Linked DNA regions of Astyanax mexicanus. The protein of the gene in region 1 interacts with the protein of each later gene in a pairwise test. Links are inferred from orthologs where the notes say so. Each region holds a gene or a part of one and is shown in the gene's direction. Other genes may lie near its edges. The genes, in order: vbp1 and pfdn4.

The links.
Region 2: the proteins of vbp1 (region 1) and pfdn4 interact in binary tests that used the Homo sapiens proteins (3 or more experiments, as listed by UniProt). The link is inferred for Astyanax mexicanus from reciprocal best matches to the Homo sapiens genes VBP1 and PFDN4.

What each region holds. Positions count from the first base shown.
Region 1 is NC_064415.1:17,236,262-17,248,400, reverse strand, and holds the start of vbp1 (prefoldin subunit 3), read left to right. Parts: upstream 1-7,553; 5' UTR 7,554-7,620; coding exon 7,621-7,701; intron 7,702-9,379; coding exon 9,380-9,504; intron 9,505-10,118; coding exon 10,119-10,185; intron 10,186-10,287; coding exon 10,288-10,386; intron 10,387-10,955; coding exon 10,956-11,094; intron 11,095-12,139. Other genes in the region: syt4 (synaptotagmin-4), read right to left, coding at 1,345-1,378. UniProt on the Homo sapiens protein: Binds specifically to cytosolic chaperonin (c-CPN) and transfers target proteins to it. Binds to nascent polypeptide chain and promotes folding in an environment in which there are many competing pathways for nonnative proteins.
Region 2 is NC_064420.1:3,766,934-3,779,061, reverse strand, and holds pfdn4 (prefoldin subunit 4), read left to right. Parts: upstream 1-7,295; 5' UTR 7,296-7,371; coding exon 7,372-7,398; intron 7,399-9,137; coding exon 9,138-9,245; intron 9,246-9,362; coding exon 9,363-9,503; intron 9,504-11,019; coding exon 11,020-11,151; 3' UTR 11,152-11,424; downstream 11,425-12,128. UniProt on the Homo sapiens protein: Binds specifically to cytosolic chaperonin (c-CPN) and transfers target proteins to it. Binds to nascent polypeptide chain and promotes folding in an environment in which there are many competing pathways for nonnative proteins.

The sequences.
Region 1 (12,139 bases):
CAGGGTTTTAAAACACTAAGGAACCAATTAAACAAGAGTAATCAGGAGTGATGCTGACTGTTATAAATGGATAAAAACCGGTACCCACACCCCACCCATTTGTGGGTAGGATTAGGAAGAAAAGATCTGAAAGTGTGCAGCTTCAGGCTTCAAGTTTCAATGTTTATTTGTCATTTGCTGCAAATGTTTTAAGTTTTTTGAGAAAATCAAAGGACTTTTTATTGCATTGCTCAGAATAACCACTTATACCATACTTAGACTCTTCTTGTGTCCTTGTTTCTTCAAGTGCATGCATTGTTAGTGCAAACTGTGCCATTGCATAAGTGCCAGCACATAAATATCCAGATATCGTGAATGACGTAGCTGGCTGTGAGTCAGGAAAGCCAGAACACCCTGAGAACAGCAGTGTACCTTCACGTCTAGAGGAATCTGCCAGCAGCTATTCTGTCTAAGCCTCAGCCAGGATCATAAATTATGAACAAGTGGACAAGTGCTTTGGGGTATGACTGAAAAGACTCTGGGCGGACATTGTGATTAGTATTTAGACTGGAGTGGAGGGGGGGTTCTCAGCAGTGTGTGATTACTTGTGCGCTGACTGTGATGATGGTGTAATACTCACTCATGCACTGGGCGAGAGTGGAAATTTCCTACTGCATGGTGGGTGCACCTCTCAGTGGAATTGAACCTTCGCATCACCTCTGCTTTGCTTTGTACACATACCTTGTACCTTTTAGCCTTTGTGGAGAGTGTGAACTTGGCTGAAGACCCAAATAAACCTAAACAAAAGCCAAATCTTACCCTAATCCTAAACCTAAACCTAAACCTTAACCTCAATCTTAACCCAAACCTAAACCTCCTTAACAAAGAATAAACCTGATGTCACACACTTGGCGTCACACACTACACACTTCTCACACCCACCCACCCGCCCAGACCCACACCCAGCCGTGTGTGAGCAGAGTGTGTTCCAGTGTTTTCTCAGACAGATTTGGGTGAGAATGACTCATGAGGAGCTGTGCCAAAGATGGACTCAAACCTCACACACCTCATATAACGTATCGATACACTGATCAGTATGAGGATTTGAGGATACGTAAATCCCAACTGTGGATTCATTAGGTAGTCTATAATAAAGTAAAAATGACGTCATGCTCTACATATATAGCCACACAGATCACTGCTGCCACGTCAAACTAATCAGGACGCGCGTCTTCAATAAACTATCGATCAACTGCACCAGGTGGTTGATAGACAGTAATCAGCCATCAAAATCAGTTCTCGAGACAACCTTTCACACAGTGAATGCTGTATAGAGCCCCTATAGACCCCCTCAGCTGTACTCACCGAATTGCGCGTGCTCAGAGGCCACTGGAGCCATCGCTGTCCGCGGTGCTGAAACGATGCTCCCGCTGATCTGCGCACTTCTCTCCTCCGGAGGCTCGAGACTCGGAGCGAAGTGTGTGTGTGAACGCCGCGTGTACCGGATTAAAAATTTTACGCGCGCGTGCTCGTTTGTTTTTCAGGGAACAGCTGGACCGCGCTGCTCTTCCTCCTGCTGTTCCTCCTGTTCTTCCTCCTCCTTACTGGTGGATCAGCACCGCCCTGTGCTGCTGCTGCTGCTCTCTCTCCGCTATATGACCGAGAAACAGCGCCACCTCTCTTTCTCTCTGTGCCTCTCTCTCTCTCTCTCTCTCTCTCTCTCCTGCTCTCTGTGCCTCTCTCTTTCTCACTTTCACCCTCTCTCTATTTTTGTGCCTCTCTCCCTCTTCGCTCTCTCTCTGCCTACTCTCTGTGCCTCTCTCTCTTTCTCTCTCCCCTACTCTCTGTGCCTCTTTCTCTCTCTCTCTCTCTCTCTCTCTCTCTCTCTCTCTTTCTCTCTCTCCCTCTCTCTCTTTTTCTCTTTTTTTATCTCTCTCTCTCTCTCTCTCTCTCCCTCTCTCTCTTTTTCTCTTTTTTTATCTCTCTGTGCCTCTCTGTCTCTCTCCCTCTTTTCTCTCTCTCTCTTTCTCACTTCCCCCTCTATCTATTTCTCTGTCTCTTTATTTCTCTCTCTCTCTCTCTCTCTCTCTCTCTCTCTCTCTCTCTCTCTCAGTGTCTCTGACGCAGGTGTGACGTTCGCTGGGGCAATCATTCTGATTGCTGAAGGTTTGGCCTCTTGGTGTGTGTGTGTGTGTGTGTGTGTGTGTGTGTGTGTGTGTATGAAAGGTAAAGCTGTTTCAGGTAATACAAGTGATACAAGGTACAACATACAATTCAAGTACCTTAAATTTAGCAATAATATAAAAGCAACAATAATTCAAGTGCCAGTTATACTGTATGACAACTTTACAGAAGGATTTGGAAAATATAAAAATAATGACGCTTCAAATGTTAAAATGCATCACAATATAGCACCTTAATACAGGTGTGGGCATTCCTGAGCCCTGTCAGTGTCAGTGTATGTTTGTGTCTATTTCTGTTGGTTCAGTCATCAGGAAATGCTGTAAACAGGACAGCTGTTATGTTCAAATGATTCATATTTGTAACACCTACCCCCAACAACATGTACAGTCATGAGACAGAATTAGCACGAGCCTTTTTTCCTTTTTAACATATTTTTATATATATATCGATTTTACTTTCATTTAACAGTGTTAAGGCATGGATACATACAACTGAATACATGATTTTAAAACTATTTGTACATTATAAATTAGACTTTAAGGAGTATTTAAAACAATAATGTTCCTTGAAGAAAGCTGGGAAGGGATTTCCCTAGTTTCTCCCTCTACAGTGCAACAATACTGCATCATACAAGTCACTCAGGTTTTTGCTTTGGAGTGAGCAATGATGCTGATTAGATCATGAGCTTTTTATACCCACATCTGGATACCTTGACCCTGGTGTTATATAGTGCATACAGTCCTTATATAGCCCTTCTGCCTCCATGCATGTGAGAAAAGAAAAATAACATAGTAAGTAAATATTCAGCTAAATGTTGGTTAAATGTCAGTTGAGGCATCTCTAATGGACCATCCAAATAAAGTCATACTGGTCTTTCTCTATAAGACATAATAAAACACAATTAACTGTTTATTTGTCCATTTCCATTCATTATTCATTTAATTAATCTAACTTAGAACAACTTTGGAGTCCTTTATAAATGTTTACTGACATCATTAATAGCTGTATAATATTATGTAAAGTCTCAGATCTTTCCACATTATTGTAGCCTGTATGCAAGATCAGCTGTTTTTCATAGTCAGATTTATTTTTAGAGATATTATATACAGATAAATGGTCCTAATATTATCCAATAAACAATTCTCACAGCCTCAGAAGGAACCATGTCTAGTCATTATGACTGTGCTGACCATATGTGCTAAACAAACACTTATAAATAACGAATAACAATAAAAGAACAAACATATACACACACATACTGGCACAGTCATGTAGCTGTAAAAATTTGCTAACAGTCTTCATATAGTCACGCCCTGCTCTGTTTCCCTGTGTTTTCTGCGTTTCCCCAGTTATTTTCCCTCACGTGTCTGTAAATTGTAGCTCCGCCCCTCGTTACCTGTCGCCCCAGGAGTTCATTGTTTCCTATTAGTATAAATAGTACCCTTTTGTCTATGTTTGGTCTTCGGTCTTTGCACCTTCCTCTGTCGTTTGTCTTGCCACGTTTATAGTAGTTTTTCCACGCTCCATAGTTCTTTGTTTATCAGTTATTCTCTGTTTATTCCGTGTTTCTATCTCTAGTTTGTTTCCTTGTTTATTTCTTGTATATATTTACGTTTATTTCCTTGCATATATCCCCAGCCCTGTTTAGTTATTATCTGTCTAGTTTAGTTCTTGGTTATTTTCCCTGTTTGTTTATGTATTTATATTTCCTCGTTTACTCCTTATTTGTTTCTTTGTTTATGTTATTTAATAAATCCTGTCTTACTCGCTTTTACGTCCGCCTCCCGTCTGCTCCACCATTACACATATATCACACACCATCAATACACATTTGTCACTGTCCAATGAAAAACACTCCAAAATCTCCAAAACAGCAACCTTACAGAAGAGAGAAAAAACCTTGTAAATGTTCAAAGAAAGTTAATGTAAAAAGAGTTTATTTCAGGTCATTATGAGGAGTTTCTATTGGTCTGTTCATTAAGAAATTTTGGGACAGTGTAAGGGATAGTTTGTCTGTTCAAATTATGTAGTAAACTAAAAATAGACAAAATAGAGATTAGTGTTTTTCATAGGACAGTGACGCTGTATATCTTATAGAATGTCTAAATGCCCTCCAACACCTAATATAACCCAGAGGGTTCTTCAAGAGGGATGAATCTTCATGCTATAGCTCAGCTGGCCTCATTTTCCTCAAGGTCAGCTGGATCAGGGTTTTAAGAGTCCTACTTTATGGTGATCTATAGATGCACAGCTACGGTTCAGAGAACACTGTGTCTCTAATTGCTGTGTTCCTGTAGCTTTATTTCACATTTGGGATTATGAAATGGAGCTGTAAAAGGGAGATGCCAAGAACACTGGATCAATACATTCAGTGCGGTTTCATTTTTTTCTGTCATTTAAGAAGGATTTAAACTGTGCAACAAGGCCATGTTATTGCAACAGCAATGAACTCTTATTAACCATTTCATTTGTGAATGGTATAAAGTGATTAAATGCATTGCTTTGCTGATGACACCCAGCTATACCTCTCATTCTCACCTGAAGATCACTCAATCTCTGCACGGATATTGCAGTGTCTCTCAGACATATCCTCATGAAGGAGCATCACCGTCAACTAAATCTCTCAAAGAGTGAACTTCTGGTTATACCAACAAAACCATCTTTTCAACACAACTTCTCTATAAGCATCGACTCTCTCTCTCTCTCACCGACAAAGGTTGCTAGGAACCTGGGTGTTATGGTTGATGACCAGCTCTCCTTCACGCACCATGTGGCCTCAGTTGCTCGATCCTGCCGCTTCGCGCTTTATAACATCTGAAAAATTCGACAGTTTCTGACGCAACAGCCCACCCAACTCCTGGTACAAGCAGTCGTCATCTCACGCCTCGACTACTGCAATGCCCTGCTAACTGGCCTCCCGGCCTGCGTAGTAAAACCACTCCAAATGATCCAGAATGCAGCAGCACGTCTGGTCTTCAACCAGCCAAAACGGGCACATGTCACCCCATTGCTCATTGAGCTCCATTGGCTACCAGTTAATGCATCAAATTCAAAGCTCTTACAGTCGCCAACAAGGTGATGACAGAACAGCTCCTTCCTACCTGCACTCACTCCTGAAGGCTTACACTACCTCCCAGCCGCTGCGCTCCTCCAATGAACGTCGCCTCACTTTACCAAACAAACATTCACACAAAGCAATCCAGACTGTTCTCATACAGAGTTCCCCTATGGTGGAACAAACTACCTTCCACTACCAGATCAGGAGAATCTCTCACTATCTTTAATAAACTCCTGAAGACAGAGCTCTTCAGGGAGCACTTACTCTCCTAACACCTCTAACACACTAACTACTTCTAACCTCATTTCCTTCTTCCCCTCCTTCACTCCTCTATCCCATTATTTCCCTTTGACCTCCTTTAGACCCTATCTAAAGATGTTTTTACCTTTAACTTATTACTTTTGTACTTCACTATTGTAAGTCTGCCAAATGTAATGTAATGTAAAATGATGTTTAGTTACATCGTTGAGCAACATCAAACTCACAACCAGAAAGAATCAAGACTTAAAAGAGCAGAAAATCAGACAGCAAAACAACAACATTAAATGCAACTGTATAACTAATGGATATACAGCAATGAAATATTAAGTCCATATGTGTGAGCATAACACTACATACATGTACAAAACCAGATATTAATATTAGAAGCTTTATTACAGGAAAATAATTATAGATATATGTTTGGAACATTAATATGATGAATATGTAAATAGCTCAGTATGAATAGTCATGACTGTAATGTTAGTACACAAGGATCATTGGTCCTCATTCACCAAAATCATCTTTCATTCTTGAGAAATGAATGCTGCATTTCTATTTGCTCAATGCCTCAGTTAATCCTTTTTCCATATTTCTCCACTCTGTAGCTGTTGATGTATAAGGGGATTCATGTGGGAATATACACTGACAGGTTTGAGTATAAATTTAGCTTTTATCCAGAAATAGCATCAGAACTGAGAACTAAAGATCCTACAGCAGAAACTGGTGCTCTATAAGCTGCAGCTCTGAGTTTAACAGCAGTAGCACTGATTTAGTCCTCGTCTGAAGTCTCATTTATACTCTTCCACTGACACACATTTCACATCTCCTGCGGTAACGTTCACACCCTAATCTGCTGTATCACCATGACAGCCCAGCGGCCCAGCAGAGCACAGCAGCAGCCCAGAGACACGTCACTAATAGAGACACAGTTCTCAGTACTAAAGAGCCTCACACTGAAGATTAACATTGCATAGAGAGAGAGAGAGAGTCAGAGACAGAGAGAGAGAGAGAGAGAGAGAGAGAGAGAGAGAGAGCATTAGAAAACAGGTGAATAAAAAGGAGACACACTGCCCAAAGTACACTGCTAAAAGTATGGATTGGATTTATATAAAATTTACATTTTCTGAGACACTGAGTTTGGGTTTTTTATTGGCTATAACCCATAATCATAATGCAATTTACTGAATGAAATGAATTACCGAAATAAAGTAACTTTTCAATTATATTCTTTTTTAGATGCACCTGCTCTGGGAAAAAAAAATAATAAAATCAAATAATAATAATGAGTTTCTTTGATTTTACCAAATTGAAAACCTCTAGAATATAATCAAGAAGAAGATGGATGATCACAAGCCATCAAACCAAGCTGCACCAGGAGTGGCATAAAGTTATCCAAAAGCAGTGTGTAAGACTGGTGGAGGAGAACATGCCAATGCATGAAAACTGTGATTAAAAACCAGCGTTATTCCACCAAATATTGATTTCTGAAACTTTTTATGAATATAAACTTGTTTTCTTTGCATTATTTGAGGTCTGAATGCTTTGCATATTTTTTGTTATTTCAGTCATGTATCATTTTCTGCAAATTTCCCGCTCCAAATGACAGTATTTTTTTTTTTATTTGGGAGAAATGTTGTCAGTAGTTTATAGAATAAAACAACAATGTTCATTTTACTCAAACATATACCTATAAATAGCAAAATCAAAAAAATGATTCAAAAACTGAAGTGGTCTCAATTTTTTCAGAGCTGTATATCTGTATCGGGTGCTTGAAGGCTTGTCCCAATTACACTCGAAAACAAGGGGTAGGGTAAAAAAGATAAATGGGATTGGGCCTTAGTGAGGGAGTGAGGGATTTTGGATAAATGATGCCACCTGCCGGTGGATCTGTGAACTGCTCCAACACACAAAACCCCGCTCTGTATCTGTACAATATGTAACCATATGAACAGTTTAAAATAAAATATCTGAGAATGTACCGCTAATAAAGCTCAGATTCAGAGCTTTAACTAAGCAGAAGCCTTTGATTATCAGCGTTAAACCCTCCGGGACGCTGCTGCAGCTTTATAAAGGCCGGGCGGCTGGCCGGAGAAACGCCCAACGTCACCTAAAGAGGAAGGGCTACGGGTCTTTCCAAAATGGCGACGACCATAGAGAGCAGCAATGCTGGAGCTGCGAGCAAGAAAAAACACCTCGGGATCCCCGAAGCGATCTTCGTGGTGAGTGAGCCGCGGACAGGGAGGTGTAAGAGGGCTCGGAGATGTTTTATAAGCCGGTTTGGAAGCTGTTTATCGGGGTTAAAGCCGTTAGCGAGCCCGCTGAGTTAGCGCGGTGCTGCAGCCTGGCCGTTTCCTTTTAAGGCTGTGGCCCAGGCTAATGCTGCTTTAAGAACAAATGGAGGCTAAAAATGAGATTTTCTGTGTTACAAAATCAGCAGTCTATATTTTTCTAGCAGCTACAGTGCATATAACTTAAGTTCATAACGGCTCTGATAGGTTTTCTCCTTATACTAGCCTTTTATTACTGTTCTGTAGTGGAGAGTTTTGTATGGCCCATTGACTGTAACGTTAATGATGAATAGTAGCATAGCTTGGTTAGCTGCTGCAGTAGTTTACTGACTACAGAGGCTGGATTTTATATCCAATATAATATTATAATTATTAATCTCCAAAATAATGATAGGTTGGTTATTTGGGTGTAGCACTATCAGCAAATAATGTAAATGTAAAGTCTAGTAAATATTGTAAAGCAAAATATTATTATTATTATTATTATTATTATTATTATTATTATTATTATTATTATCATATTAATATTAATAATAAGCCAATATAAACGTTTTTAATGAAAGACTTCTATAAAATCATTGTCTGAAGCACATAGATTTAATATTTTATATGTTACCATTAACATACAGTAACAGTCAATGTATATCAATGTGGACACCTCTTCTCGTTCAGTGTTTTCTTTCTTTTTATTATTATTTTTTAATAAATATATTTAGTTTAATCTCTAAAATAATGTTAGTTGATTGTTTGGGGTAGCACTACCAGCAAATAATATAAATATAAAGTCCAATAAATACTGAATAAATTCTCTTCTTCTTCTTCATCTTATTGTTGATTATCTGGAGAACATAGATTATATATCTTCATATGTTACAGTTACAGTTAACATATATTTCCATGGACACATGTTTTCTTCTTTGATTAATTAATTAATTTCTGGTAGAAAACCAGCAAATAATGTAAATGTAAAGTCCAGGAAATACTGTATAAAATAATTATATAAAAAAAAAAGGTTTATGTACTAGTACAACATCATATTTGCTAAATATATAGCTCGTAAGCATCATTCCTAATGGAATTTATACAGAATTTCACACTGGAAGATGCTTGTTATGACATATCTGCAAATGTATTATACTGTACAGAAAAAAATGCTGTAATCTTTATTTTTCAGTGTAACAGTAGTAAACATCACAAATGGAGAAGGTTTTTACAACCAAAAAGAAATGGAGAAGATTTACATCTGTCGATGTATATGTTTATTGTGCTTTATGTTGATGTATCATTAAACAATGGGCTAAAAGTGCTGCTGGTTTGTATCAGAGTACTGTTTACTGGAGTCATGACAAAGCAAGAACCAAGTCAGTTTGCCCCCTCATCCTTCTTTTTTTCAGGGACTTTTAGCCTCAGATAATTCTTTTCATTAACTGGACAAAATAGTATGTGCAAATATCACTTATTAAAGCACTTTTCATTATTGGGAAAGAAGCATAATGAACAAATCCAGTCTAAGCATATCATTTATAATTTTGCATGCCACTTTCATTATTGGGTTAATTTAATTATTGACCTGAGGTCCAGGTACATGACTGTCTCTTCTTTCTTTTAGGAGGATGTGGACTCCTTTATGAAGCAGCCCGGCAATGACACAGCAGATGCTGTACTAAGGAAGCTCGATGAACAGTATCAGAAATATAAATATATGGAGCTTAACCTGTCCCAGAAGAAACTCCGGTTTGTTTATTGTTATTATTATTATTATTATTATTATTGTGAGGTATGGCTGCTTTATTTTGTGTTTTTTTGTGGTTCTAATTATCTTATTAATTGTCCTTTACAAATAATGTTCTTTACAAGTAATGGTTAACCATTAGCCGGTTTTGTTCTAAAAGAATACAATGCTTTTGTTGACAGTTGAGTGTTCATTCCCTTGCAGTGGCACAGTGTTTCTTATCCTAAAGTCCCAAGTGAGCACAATTGGCCTTGCTCTCTGCATATATTTTTATATTAGTGATACCCAGTGGCATTTACCTTTTATTGGACGCTTTCTTCAGAGGAGATAAACTTTTTATCAATTAAAATTGCCTGACCTCCACAAATGCTGCCACTGTCACATATGCTACTTTGACTGCCTGTCATGGTTGGAATGCATTTAATGTAATGGTTCATCAGGACCTCAAATATGGTGTCAGACATAATTTGCTGTGTCATTGTGCTCTATTTATGAAGTATTTTAACATATTTCCAGTCCTAGTCATAGTGTGTGATTGCTGAAATGGGCTTGAAATGAGCCAGTACAAATCCTAGCGGTCCAGAAGTTGTGAAATGTGGAATTTTGCCTTGTTTAGGTTGAAAAGCCAGATTCCACAAATCAAGCAGACGTTAGAAATCTTACGGCACATGCAGAAGAAAAAGGTAAGCAATACTGTTAACTGTAGTAATAAAAATCAGCTTCTGTCTTTCTGCTCTCCTTTTTTCAGTCTACTCATTCAGTAATGTCTCCTTGTCTTGGTACAGGACACTACAGATCCAATGGCGACTCACTTCCTTTTGGCTGATAACGTGTACTGCAAGGCCTCCGTCCCTCCCACAGATAAAGTGTGTTTGTGGCTTGGGGTAAGTATTCAGCTCACACCTGAGGAGCAATGCTGGCTCAAAGGAGAACTTTAATTGACTTTTGGTGTAGTAAAACATGCTTAAAAGTTATACCTTTGTTAAACAGCCCACCACCACTCTCCTGCAGCTTTCTGAGGCCCAGTTATTTTGTGCTTTTTGCCAGGCACTCTGTACAACCGTGTCAGGGCATATTTTGCCCCAATAAATCGCTTTTTACACCGTTATCCAGGCTCAAAGTAGCTTCACATTTCTTTGGTAGAATCTGGAGAGCCCAGACATTTAAATCGAGGCATTAGTAACTTAAAAAGTACTATAGAATCTTAAAAAACACTCTTTGCTCACATTTGTCCACAATTTTAGGATTAAAAAAAAAACAGAACTTTAAAAACTAGGAAAAAACACAGTCTAAAATTTTCCATTTTCTGTGGCAAATGTGTGACCAGTAAGCTACTAAAAAGGAGTCTTCATAGAAAAGGCCCACTGTGGGTTTTGGGATGCAGCTTATACTGTATTTTCATACAATATACAATTTTCATTGCATGTTCTTATATGATCGCTTTCTGAAAAAGGCAAACGTAATGTTGGAGTATGACATAGACGAAGCCCAGTCACTCCTGGAGAAGAACCTCGCCACAGCCTCCCGAAACCTGGAGTCCCTAGAAGAGGACCTGGATTTCCTCCGAGACCAGTTCACAACCACTGAAGTCAGTATCCTTTCTCTAAAGTGGAGATGCCCCAGTTTTGTAATGTACACTGTACGTCTGGGTAAGTTACCTAGGAGCAGAGTAAAATTCCTAATAAGAAAATATATTATATTAGATTAGGTTAGATGTAGCTTCTTTGTAAAATTTTATTACATATATAAAGTGTTTAAAGTCACCGTGGCAAGTGATGGTCTGATTAATTAGCAGTGGCTGTGTGAACTACATAACATATTATATGACCTGGAAATGGAGACTAAACTTTGGTTATTGTAATGATTTATGGCGATCATCTTCTCTATGCTGCTTTTAAGTAGCTTGTAGTTTGTGTATCTGTTTAACAGTTCGGTTGTCATAGGAGCATATTACTGTATTTAAGCCACTGAATTGTTATAATGTGTTGTGTAGTCTTAGTGCTGACTTCATCACAGTACTGTAGAGCCCAATTGAGACTTTATAGATGACACCATTACTGTGTTCTAGATTTCAGTCTAGTTTCAGGTATTTCCAGTCTTAGAAATTGGTCTCTTCAGTTTTTTATCAAGTTTTTTAGCCACAGTTTAAAACCTCAGACAAGAGCAAAATAAACAAAAGGAGACTAGACAGTTGGCTTGGTTCTGTTGTCTAAACCAGTATTTATTAATCCTGCTCCTGGCAACCCTTGGTTAAACCCACTGGTTAAAATTGGCCAAGTCATTACACTTGATCCAGGTGTTTTGTGTACAGGATTACTAAAACTACTGCTGTTTTAATGGGTCTGAATGCTTCCTATTATTTCCATTTAAGTAAAACTGAAATGAACAGCTTCAATAAAAATAAATAACTAAATGTATTATTTTTTATTTTTATACATTTTTTCTTTCTTCTCTTTTAAAAAAAAAAAAAAGACAAAAAAAAAAACACACTGCCTGACTGATATGCTGATTATCAGCTCACTAAAGCCCCACACTGCAATTTAATTTTAGTCTGACAAACTTCAGATCCATTTGACTAAAATGTAAATGGGATCAGGATACAGTTCATATACAAGTCATTTGAAGTAACCAGTTGTA
Region 2 (12,128 bases), on another chromosome or scaffold:
ACATTAATAGGCTTCGTTAATAGGCTTGCCTTGCTAAGTTAAAAATATTTAATATTTAATAAGTGATTTATTTTTTGTAAATGACCCATATGCACTGAAACAATACAATATATGTGTTATGGTTTTGTCACATGATTGTCTAATTCCCACCTTGATCACAAAAGCTGAAGACCTGTTTTGAGAACACGATGAGAAGAAACACACAACACTGTTTACACTGCAAGTGAAGTCTGTCAATACAGGTTACACTCCCAGATTAGCTGTTATTTGCATTCAAAAGGATATATTCTTTGTTTCATTTTTGGCATCTCTTATTGTTTTATGGATAATAATTACCAAAATCTGAAGTATATTCAAGAAATCATTAAAAATTAACAAAATTTAGCATGCAGTTATATCTCAGAGAAGAGCAGTTATGTCTTACTGCTGTGAGGTATTTTTTGCATTCATCAGCAGCAGTAATAATAGAGAGGTCAGAATTTTGGATAATTAAAACCTCACCTCATCAATACTAGGGGTCTTTATACCCCTGTAGCCCACATCTGGCATTGGGCAAACTGTAAAATTTGATGATTCACTTTTGCATATATAGCAGTCTATACAAAAAAATCTATGAAAAAAAAATCAATGTGTCACTTGTCATTCACTTTAAGAGCCAGGTGCAGTCTGACTTTGGCCGATTGATATTTTAAAGGTGCAATGCTTCTGCGCTTCTTCAGCGCACCTGTGTTTTCTGCTCCCAAGATAACAATATGCCAGAAATATACCTGAACACACCACGCCCATCTACGTAGATATATTTCTAAACTCTGACACTACTTTAACGGTCAGGGTGCAAGGTGTGAAAATAGACTGTTGGCGGGGGTGTAAGATAGCAATGAGCACAACAACGCTCCTTGCACAGGGTGTAAGATTTTGTAGCCAATTGTGTAGCAATACTACAAACTATTAAACATGTATGAAACGTATACCATGTCTACATTTTTAACCTTTAGAGCCTTTTTTTTCCATTTTTTTTTGCTTTTATTTTTTCATGCATTATTAACTAAAAACACACACAATAGCAAATGTATTTAGTAAACAATTATTGATTGCTAAAATCAGTAACTCAAGCTGTTTATTAAATTGTTTGTGTTCATAAACCCACAGCAAATAAGACACTCATTTTTCTGGCAGTGCTTTACACTGTCTACAGTGTTTACAGTGTTTAATAGTGGTATATAAGATCAAGTTTGGAGGATTGGAGTTGATAATCACAATAAAGTCACCAGAAACATTAAAACTAGACAAAAGACAGATAAATATAACATGTTGATCTACTGTACAGCACTGGGAAAGCAGCCATACTGAATCAGAAGCAGGTTCTGCACTCTTTATATAGGAACTCGAGAGATGTTCACACGGTCTGAGTCAACACACAGAGCTGTCATCTGCCAAGAGAGCAATTCCAACCCTTATAGAAAACAAACTGTACTCTGCATTAATATGACAACCTGCTTGTTCATGAGTCAGGCTTTGTTGGTTTTTCACACTTGTTTAAGAGAAAATTAAATGAACTTTCTGTACTAAAATAAAGAAATCTAAATTGTATTTTTTTTTTTATTCAAAACATACTGTCTAGTCCCTCAGTACTACTGTCCATATGTGAAAAAAATAAGAACGTTACTTAATGACTGTTTCTTTTTTAAATTAAAAATTTAAAAAATTTTGGGACCCAAAAAATTTTGACCCAAAAAAAAAAATTCGAAAAATTTTGGGACCCAAAAAATTTTTACCCAAAAAAAAATTCGAAAAATTTTGGGACCCAAAAAAAATTCGAAAAATTTTGGGACCCAAATTTTTTTTACCAAAAATAAATTCGATTTTTTTTTGTATTTAGCAATACAGCTCATGATAATTTTGACACTAAATCATATTCTTTAATGTGCTGAGTAAAAGTTTAACAGAGAACTTTCACATTAGAAAAAAAAAACAGGTTTTTTGTTTGCGTGGCTGTGTAAACAGCAAAAAACACACTAAATCTCAAATTTTTTATTCAGATTTAAGCCACTTCAATATGTGGTAATGAAATCTGATACATATTTGATTGAAGGCAATGCAACTTTGTCTAAATCGGAATTAATGCGACTTTTACATCAAACAGAAAAGCAGCAGCAGTGACCTCAATGACAGAAAAACAAGATAACAGACCTTCCAATAATATTTGAAGGCTCGTGTTGAAGCCACGCGGTATTCCTAATGAATTGGCCGAACATGACTCTAGATCACCTCTGCACCTCTAACGTGTTCTCATTGATATGTCCAGCTATCAGCCTGAACTGATTCATAGCTTTTCTTCTATAGCGCTCTGATTTATTATTCTGGGTTAAAGGGAAACTTAATGTGAAGCACTGATCTATTACACATGCTTTTTTATCTACAAACATTGACCTAGATTAATGCAAAGATTAACAAGCATGGAAGATTATTGTTGGTTGTTGTTTTTAGGATGCGAGTTCTTTAAATCAGAATCTGTATTCTGCAAAACCAGAACTTACCCACAACACCAGGAGAAAGTTCACGAGAATGAGGAACTGGCTGTAAGTTCCTCACTGACTCTACGCTACGCTAGCAGCTGAAAACTCACCGATGACTCAGGGAAATGCCTACCAACTGCTCATACCTTATATTATATTCTACTGTATTTAAGTTCTGTTGTTGGTTTTGCCCCCAATTTTCAGTATGCTACTGCTGTAGGGGAAATTATTAAAGAAGAATTACACTGATTTTACATTTGTGAATGGCCTTTTTGAGGTCAAAAATGATGTACAATGTTCTTCTCGAGTTAAAAACTGATGTACAATGTTCATTTGGATGAAAAACTAATGTTATAACCAATGTTATTTTTGAGGAAAAAACTAAGGTACACTATTATTTTTTAAAGTGAAACTAGTGCAGTTAATCTGGAAACTTATTTTTATGTAAATTATGTAATTTTGTCTGAAATTTCCTGCCATGATTAATTCTTTTTTACAGAGCCTTTTGCTGTATTAGCGGGTTTTAGTAAATCATTAGCAGGTTTTTAACTGGTTTTGATATTTAATATGTGCAATGTGCATTGTGCAATTATTTAGTTCGTTTTTTATCATCATTTTTATTAACAGCCCTTAATAAATATATGGGCAAGTATTTCTTTGTATGTGAAATCTATTATTATTTTTTTAATTTTATAAATATATTTTTCCAACAACTGAAGTATATATTTTTTCAAGTTTTTTTTGTACAGCTCGTATTTCTCATCATGAAAAGAGCCCGTTTGTGAAAAGGTAGCAAGAAAACTCATTCTACACTTGATAAGTGATTAATTTATGCAAGCGTAAAAATGAACTTAAACCTGCCGTTTGTCAGTTTTATGTCAGTCATAAGTGTGCCACCACTGCTTAAAAATCCTAATAAGTCGTTGTTTGGCACAGATTATCTGGTCTTTTTACTTAATTGTTCAACTGCCAAATATTTGAAGCATCCTTAGAATATTTTGAATTTGATTTTTAAAGAACATTTACTGAGGAAAAATCTTTTTTTTTTGTAAAAACAATATTTTAATTTATGGTAGATCTGCACTGTAAATTTGAAAGCACTGACCACTCCCTCATACATTCCTTTGGCAAATTCCTTTGGCTCAGTTTTTTTTTTAATAAAGGAATGTGATTTACTGAAGAATAAAAACTCATTGCTTTAAATTAACAGTTAAAAAAGGCTGTATTAATAATAATGATTTACAGAACAGTAAACTGAGTGACAGTAAGCAGGCAAAGAAAGTCCTGAACAGTCCCTAAATCGCCTGTGACTGATCAGCCGCTGGTCAGGGTTAGGCTAATAATGTGCTAATACATGCCGTCCACAGTTACAGCCTCACATTGTAAACGTACACAGCGGAGGCGGACGAGAAATTCCACTGTGGTCACCCCTCGCTCTCTGCCACGGTGAAAGGAATTTCTCAGACATGCGAGGCATGGAACGCCTCAAACCACCCAGCTCAATATTCCCAAACCAACACTTTACTCAATAAATTAACTGACTTAGTTTGTTCAGTTTTTATCCCTTTATTTAGTGATTAGAAATCCACATTACTGTACATTACTGTAATCTCTGCAATTGCACTAATCCCATTTCCACACCCTGGTTTGCCAGGTACGGAACACAATATCAGACAAACAGTTCGCTCCAGCTGTGGAAGCTAACAAGGGAAATGTTTTAACAGAAGCAGCCTAAAAGGCATCTGCATTTATCTTTAAAAAGCTCTATGGCCAGAGATGGAGTAAATGAGAGTCAATACTGGTACTGATTTCAACAGATGGAGACAGTTTAGAGCCTAGGAACACCCAAAAGATGCCAAGCTGGTTAATTTTCTCAGAAGTAAGTAAGCACTTATCAGCTAAGTTTCAGCTAAGGTTCACTGTCCATTTATCAAAACTACTACTAGCATAGTAGGGTGGGGAAATTTAATTATTTCAACATTAGAGTGCTCACATTCATACTCTGCATTGCTTGGAATTGTGTCCTCAATCTGGCAACATGCATAAGCTTTGTCAGGTAGGGAGCAGGAAGGAGATGTGGAGATTGGCAGAAGATTTATTGAAAAAAAAAAACATTAACAAACAAACAAACAAAGAACCAAAAACTGAAAGAAAAAGCAACACAGGGGACATAGATAGCATGTTAACACATAACCTGACTGACGTTCAACAATGGACAAGGAACACAGGAACGAGGGGGACTATAAATACAAATGGATGGAAAACACCTGGGACTGGGTAACAAGGGGGCGGAGCTAGAGAAGGGTAAATTAACTCTAGGACAGCTGTCTTGAACCACATTAATCACATAAGTTTGTTTATAATGGGCACACAATAAAAACATTCCAAACAATTGTACAATGTACATTTGCTGATCAGCTTGCAGAGTAAGACTCAGCATCACTTGCCACTGTGTCCTCAACCTGGCAACCCACATGAGCTTGGCGTCTGGGAAGGGGCAATGCTCTACAGTGTTTGAAAATTGGACTGCTCCAAGTGGACCACTTGATTTCATATAGTTCTGATTACTCCTTTACTCATTTAACGATGTTTATTGCTGTCGTAAGTACTTTTAATGGCGACCCTTATTGTAAATAGTTATTTGAATGTCATATGAATGCTGAAGGTCTTGCTCACACACTTCCTCACATACATTTATTAGAAATATGCATGATGCGTGCATAAATCTAAACCAACAGTTAAATTATCACAAAATAAAGTGCAAGCATTGTGGCAATATTTGCCTATATGGGCGCAGTAAGTTGACTGATTACTAAGTGTGTGTTTACTAAAGGGACACTGACGAAGAAGATATTCAAACAAAAAGAAAAAAAAAACCATCTAATTAAAACACACGCCTTGCCCTCAGGAATGCACTATGTGTACTTATACTGGTTTTAGAGATTATTAGCTTGTAATAATTCTTCATATAAACAAGATATCTGATTTTACATGCATATGAGCACAGACATTAACGATAAACAGTACTTTCTTCTGTTATACCACTTTTTCTTTATTTACAGACAATAATATTACCCCATATTTTAATAATAAGAACTAAATAAATTGTTCTTTGACTGTAGACTGTAATTGTAGCTATTGTACTGTAACGTTACTGTACTGTACTCTAACTGTAGAGAGTAGAAGTGTAAATAAAAGAAATACTCACATTGATAAATACTCACTTATGATTTGCTTTTTGGCCCCCTCTTTATTTTACATACACTACACGTAATGCATTGCTATAGTTTTTACAGTAGCCTATGGCTGTTGTTTTGTACAATAGTGAACACTTTTCACTATTTTACTATATATATATTTTTAATACTTTGCTTTGTTCTATTTTTTATTGTTATATATTGTATTTTTAGTCTATTTTAGCTTTAATTGTTTTTTATTTGTCAAAAGGTCTTGTTATATGCAAGTTACATGCTTTTATAGTACAAATTTGTTGACTTTATTATTTATTATTTTAAAAATTGTTGGTCGTTCCTATTCGTCACAATATATACGTTTTTTTTTCGTAATCACTTCTCTTTTTTATTATAAGCCTTGTTACATGGAAGTAAGTTAATTTGATAGTTTAAATATGTTGACTTTATTTTTTGTATTAATTTGAATGTACTTCTCCATTGCTAATTGTCTTAGCTTCTCAAAATTCGATATATCTTTTTTATATACATACACATTGTTTTAAAATATAATTAAATATAATATTAGTGATATTTATTGTTATAAGTTTATATGAACGTAATTTCATACAGTTAAGAGCAGTGTGTGTATGATTTAGTAGTTACCCACAGCTCAGGAAACTGTTAGCATAGCTTGTTTAGCCGATAGCATTGCAGTGTTGTCGCCATTTTTATTTCATAGTAAAAGTCCCCAGGACAGAATATATAAAAAAATGAATAGCTGTTACTAAAATCAATAACTCTATTGTCTAAAATAATAATAGTTAACATTCATTTTATTTTATTTGGACTTACCTAATTATTTATTTTAGGAAAATATGGTAAAATATATACATATTTTTTTAAATATTAACGTCTCATTTTTTTACATTTTAAGCTCTGGTATGTGTGACCGTATGATAATTTTGTATTGTTTAGATGAATAAAGGTGCAGCTATAATAAATTGGTATATTGTTGTACGAGATATACAGGATTTACAGATTCTTTTATTAAGTTGTACAGTTTGAAATAGTTTGACGATGAATGTGATTAAATTAGAATAATTAATCACAGAGTATGTAACTATTTGGATATTTTTTTATTTGTCTGACAGTAATATTGAAAACCTAAAAATAAAAAATTGCGCCCAAAATTCTAAATTATAAATAAAAGCAGATACAAAAATAAATAAATAAATAAAACTAATTTTTATTTATTATTATTATTTTTTATTTAACTAAAAACTACTATTTTTTGTTGTTGTTTGTTTTACTTTATTAAAATATATACTGTATTTCCTGAAGACCCTGCCTTATAGTCCTGTCCACTAGATGGAGGTGTTGCCGCAGGGTTTTTTTTACTGCATTTTTACCTCATTCAAGTAAAATAAAATATTAATCGGTTGGTAAGAAAATTCCCCTCAAAGTCCAATATAAGTTGTATTATTGACCCTTTATTTGACTACAAGAAGATATGTATAGTAAAATAAAATAATAATTCATTATTATTTATGTTAGCAAAACGTAAATTCGCTAAAAAGATCTCTGAAAAAAATTCTGATCGATTTGAATCATTTACTGGAAAGAGTCGGTTCAAATGAACGATTCATTCACGCGCCCGAACAGCGATTCCCTTCCGTTCCAAGATGGCAGCCACCACGAAGAAGACTGTGGTAAGTGTGTCTGTCTTGATTTGCTGTTTAAAGAGTCGCGGTCTGGCTTTAGACCGGTTTAGTTTAGGTTTAGGATTAATTTTAGTTCAGTCTTATTTATATACGGTTTAAATCCGCCGATATACAGGCAGGACTTTTCCGGGAGCCTGAGAGTTAGCTTGGTTAGCTTAGCATAGCTAATGTGGAGCTATTATAGAGCTATATAGTATAGAGAGCTAACGGCAGCGCTGTGTGTGTGTAACTTATATGAGAGCTGGATCAGCTCTACAGAATAAAGCCCAGATCTGATCAGATAATAATCAGTTTATTGACCGTGTGAATAAGTAGAACCTGAATTCGGTTCATCTGCGAATCACAGGGGATGTTCACACTATGTTAGCTTAGCTAGATGGGCGTGTAGCAGAACCAAGCCTACAAATCTAACTGTCCACCCGAGTCTAGCCATTATTATACTAACATACAGCTCAAATTCATTAACTTATTAAAAAACACTATCATCACCTTATTTACTTTTTTTCGATAAAAAAAAAAAAAAAATTAAAAGTTACTGTATTTTTTTTTTAGTAATTCAGTTAAAAACGCGTAATTATTTTTAATAGATTTTATTTTAAGGTTAGATGTATTGTTATTATTATGGCTTACAGCTAATAAAAACCCAAAAATTAGTGCCTCAGAAATTTAGAAAATTATATTATAAGACCATTTGGTACTTTGGGCAGTGTGGGCAGTGTGCCAAGTCCTGCTGGAAAATGAAATCCGCGTCTCCACAAAAGTTGTCAGCAGAGGGAAGCATGAAGTGCTGTAAGATCATCTCCGAATACTTACATTTTGAGTATTTTTTACTTTATTTTTTTAGACTATATATATATATATATCTTTTTAAGGTCTGTTGTTTAAATTCTTTAGCTGTTTTTCTATTAATAAAGTCTAATTTCTTCATATATTGTGTTTTTTTTTTTGTGTCATGCGAATAAAATAATACAAATACCATAATAGAGGGGTGCACGATTTGGGCAAAATGTATTAAAGCGATCTTTCCACAGAATATTGCAACTTCTATTATTTTCAGTCCATTAAACCTTAAACATGTATTAGTGGTTAACATATCTGTCAAATATAATATAATAACTTCTTTCCACGTAAAATATTCTCAGGGTTCTTCTCAGATTACTAAATGCAAATGTCAGTTTTACTTTTAAATTTCAAGGAACAAAAAAAAAAAAAAAAAAATATATATATATATATATATATATATATATATATATATATATATATATATATGTTAAAATGCATTATATATTATAGTAGAATAATATATTATAATAGAATAATTATATATTATTCTTGATTTTTTTTTTTCTTTTCAAATCACATTTCTCAAAATATCACAGGTTTTATTTATTATTAGACAGAACTAAATGATAAGACATTAATATTGAGGCATTGTCACGCCAACCAGGGCTCTGAGCATGGGAACGACTATAAGCCCAAAGACTACAATCCCCAGCACTCTAAGGACTACAAACGTGCTATTGGCTAATTTAAATCGCAGCTCCTGCGAATGAAAAGTCAATTAAAAAACGATGAATTGTTTAGCTCTACTGTGATATACAGCGAGACTCCAGCACTACTCTGTGTTATATCTTCACATTTAGATTAAGTGCAGATTCTCTGATATCTCCTCTACTCTCTCCTGTCGGTGTGTGTTTTGTCACTAAGCTTCTCCTCTCTTCTCGCAGGCAGTTGAAGATGTCAACGTTACCTTTGAAGACCAGCAGAAGATTAACAAGTTCGCTCGGAACACAAATCGGATGACGGAGCTGAAAGATGAAATAGAAGCTAAAAAAGTAGGAAAATTATCAATAAACACCAGATTATCAGTTTATGATTCTGTCACTGTTTAATCCAGATACTCTACACTGATCACTTTGGTTATAGGTATGTTTTATCTTTCCTCCTCTCAGAAATCCCTCCAGAACTTAGAGGACGCGAGCGATGACCTCATGATGTGTGAGGATGATGATCTGCTGATCCCGTATCAGATTGGAGATGTGTTCATCAGTCACTCGCAAGAGGAGACGCAAGAGATGCTAGAGGCTGCTAAGGTGAACAGATAATTATTGAAACTAAAATACCAGCCAAAATGTTATGTTTTACAGTGTAGATTAATACGTAAGTCATCCAAAATGATGACAAAAAATATATGGAATTATTTAGTAAACAAAAAAGTGTTAAACAAACCAGAATGTGTTTTATATTTGAGATTATTCAAAGAAGCACCTCTTGCTTAGATGACAGCTTTGCACACCTTTAGCTTTATGAGGTTGAGTCACCTGGAATTTAGGCTTTCAGTTAACAGCTGTGCTGAACTCATCAAGAGTTAATTACCGGTACTTGAATTTCTTGCCTCTTAATAAAATGTTTAAGAGCCTCAGTTGTGTAAAGTAGCGAAGAGGTAGAGTTACAGGTATAATCCAGATTATGAGATGTAAGAACTACTCAACTAAATAAAAAAATATATAATAATTTTAAGAAATAAAAGTCAGTTATTTGTTTTCCATTCATCCATCCATCTTTTTACCTACACATCTATCTCTACCTGTCTACATTATAACAATCTACGCCCCCCCCCCCATTAGTCTATCAATTTACCCACCAATCTATCCACTTACTATCTATCTACCCACCTCTCTCTCTTTAATTTTCAATTTTTCTTTTATTTCACTTCTTTTATTGTGCAGAAAGCACTGGTATTTACTTAAGGAACTGTTTATCATTGTTTTTATTAAGTGTATTTATTGAACCGTATTTTTCAGACTATAAGGCACACTTAAATGTTTTTAATTTTCCCAAAAATAGACAATGCACCTTATAATCCGGTGCACCTTATGTATGAATTCTACAGTCAGACATTTAGGGAGCAGTAAAGCCACTCTGCTGAAGTACAGCAATATAAGGGTGAGTTTTTAGTGAAGTTTCTCCAGCACTAAGGCTGGGTGCAGCAGCATTAGCATTAGCTGCTAACCACAGAGCTGTAATCTGTGTGTTTGCTGTATTAAAACAAGCTATGTGGCACGAACCGCTAGCTGATAGCAAGCGCACTGGTTTACCGGAACACTCCAGGTTCCTCAGTCTGTTGCTGTTGTGAGGCATTTACTTTCGAGTTATTGCTGCGGTTAGCGGCTAATGCTGCTGAAGAAACTTCACTGAAAACTCACCCTTAGGCAAAATATTGGATATCTAAGCTTACTGTAAATAAATAGAAGCGCTTTAAACATCCAAATGAACAGTTTTCAGGAGAGAAATCTGCGTAGATTAACGTTCAGTGCTCGTTTTTTGACTTTAAAAGATTTTTCTATTAAGAATTTACATTTTTAAGGTGCTTAATGCTCCTTATGTATGAAAATAGACCAGAAAATCAATCAATCAATCCTTTGTGAAATAAAATCAGGTGTGCTGCTTATGAAATTATACTTAATAATGCTTCTAACCAACATTCATAACTGTACTGTAACTAGACATATTTTAATATTTTGTGCTAATGTTGTATAATTATATATATATATACATATTTTTGTCAAAAATTAAAAAAACACTTTTTTGCTGAAATGTTCTCCACAGGAAGCTCTCAAGGATGAAATCAAAGCTCTGGAGGGTCGCGTGTCATCGATACAGGGAGTCCTCGGGGATCTTAAAGTCCAATTGTACGCGAAGTTCGGGAACAACATTAACCTGGAGGCGGATGAGAGCTGAGTTCTTCAGTGAACGGACTTTATTTTACAAACTGACGCCATCCATCAACTAAAACCCCCTGTTTCCTGCATGGAGCTCACAAGCAGACCTGATCCCTCGTTTTGCAGCACTGATGATTCTTTCTGTTTTTTACATGCCGTTATGTTTCAGTAGTATTGGAAATGAGGAAGTAGATGTATCAGTTAAAGGGAAAGTTCGGGGCAGGAGCACTGGAAAACAAAACAGATGAGAGGCCTTCACTGCTATTTAAATAAAAGGCTTAAACAGTACAAATCTTGCACTGTCTGAATGATATTCTGTTCTATAGTGTAAATACAGTACTATAGGCTGTAGTGGTTTATTATAGTATAGTATAAATACAGTACTATAGACTGTAGTGGTTTATTATAGTATAGTATAAATACAGTACTATAGACTGTAGTGGTTTATTATAGTATAGTATAAATACAGTACTATAGACTGTAGTGGTTTATTATAGTATAGTATAAATACAGTACTATAGGCTGTAGTGGTTTATTATAGTATAGTATAAATACAGTACTATAGACTAGTGGTTTATTATAGTATAGTATAAATACAGTACTATAGGCTGTAGTGGTTTATTATAGTATAGTATAGTATAGTATAAATACAGTACTATAAGCTGTAGTGGTTTATTATAGTATAGTATAGTATAAATACAGTACTATAGGCTGTAGTGGTTTATTATAGTATAGTATAGTATAAATACAGTACTATAAGCTGTAGTGGTTTATTATAGTATAGTATAGTATAAATACAGTACTATAGACTGTAGTGGTTTATTATAGTATAGTATAGTATAAATACAGTACTATAGGCTGTAGTGGTTTATTATAGTATAGTATAGTATAAATACAGTACTATAAGCTGTAGTGGTTTATTATAGTATAGTATAGTATAAATACAGTACTATAGGCTGTAGTGGTTTATTATAGTATAGTATAGTATAAATACAG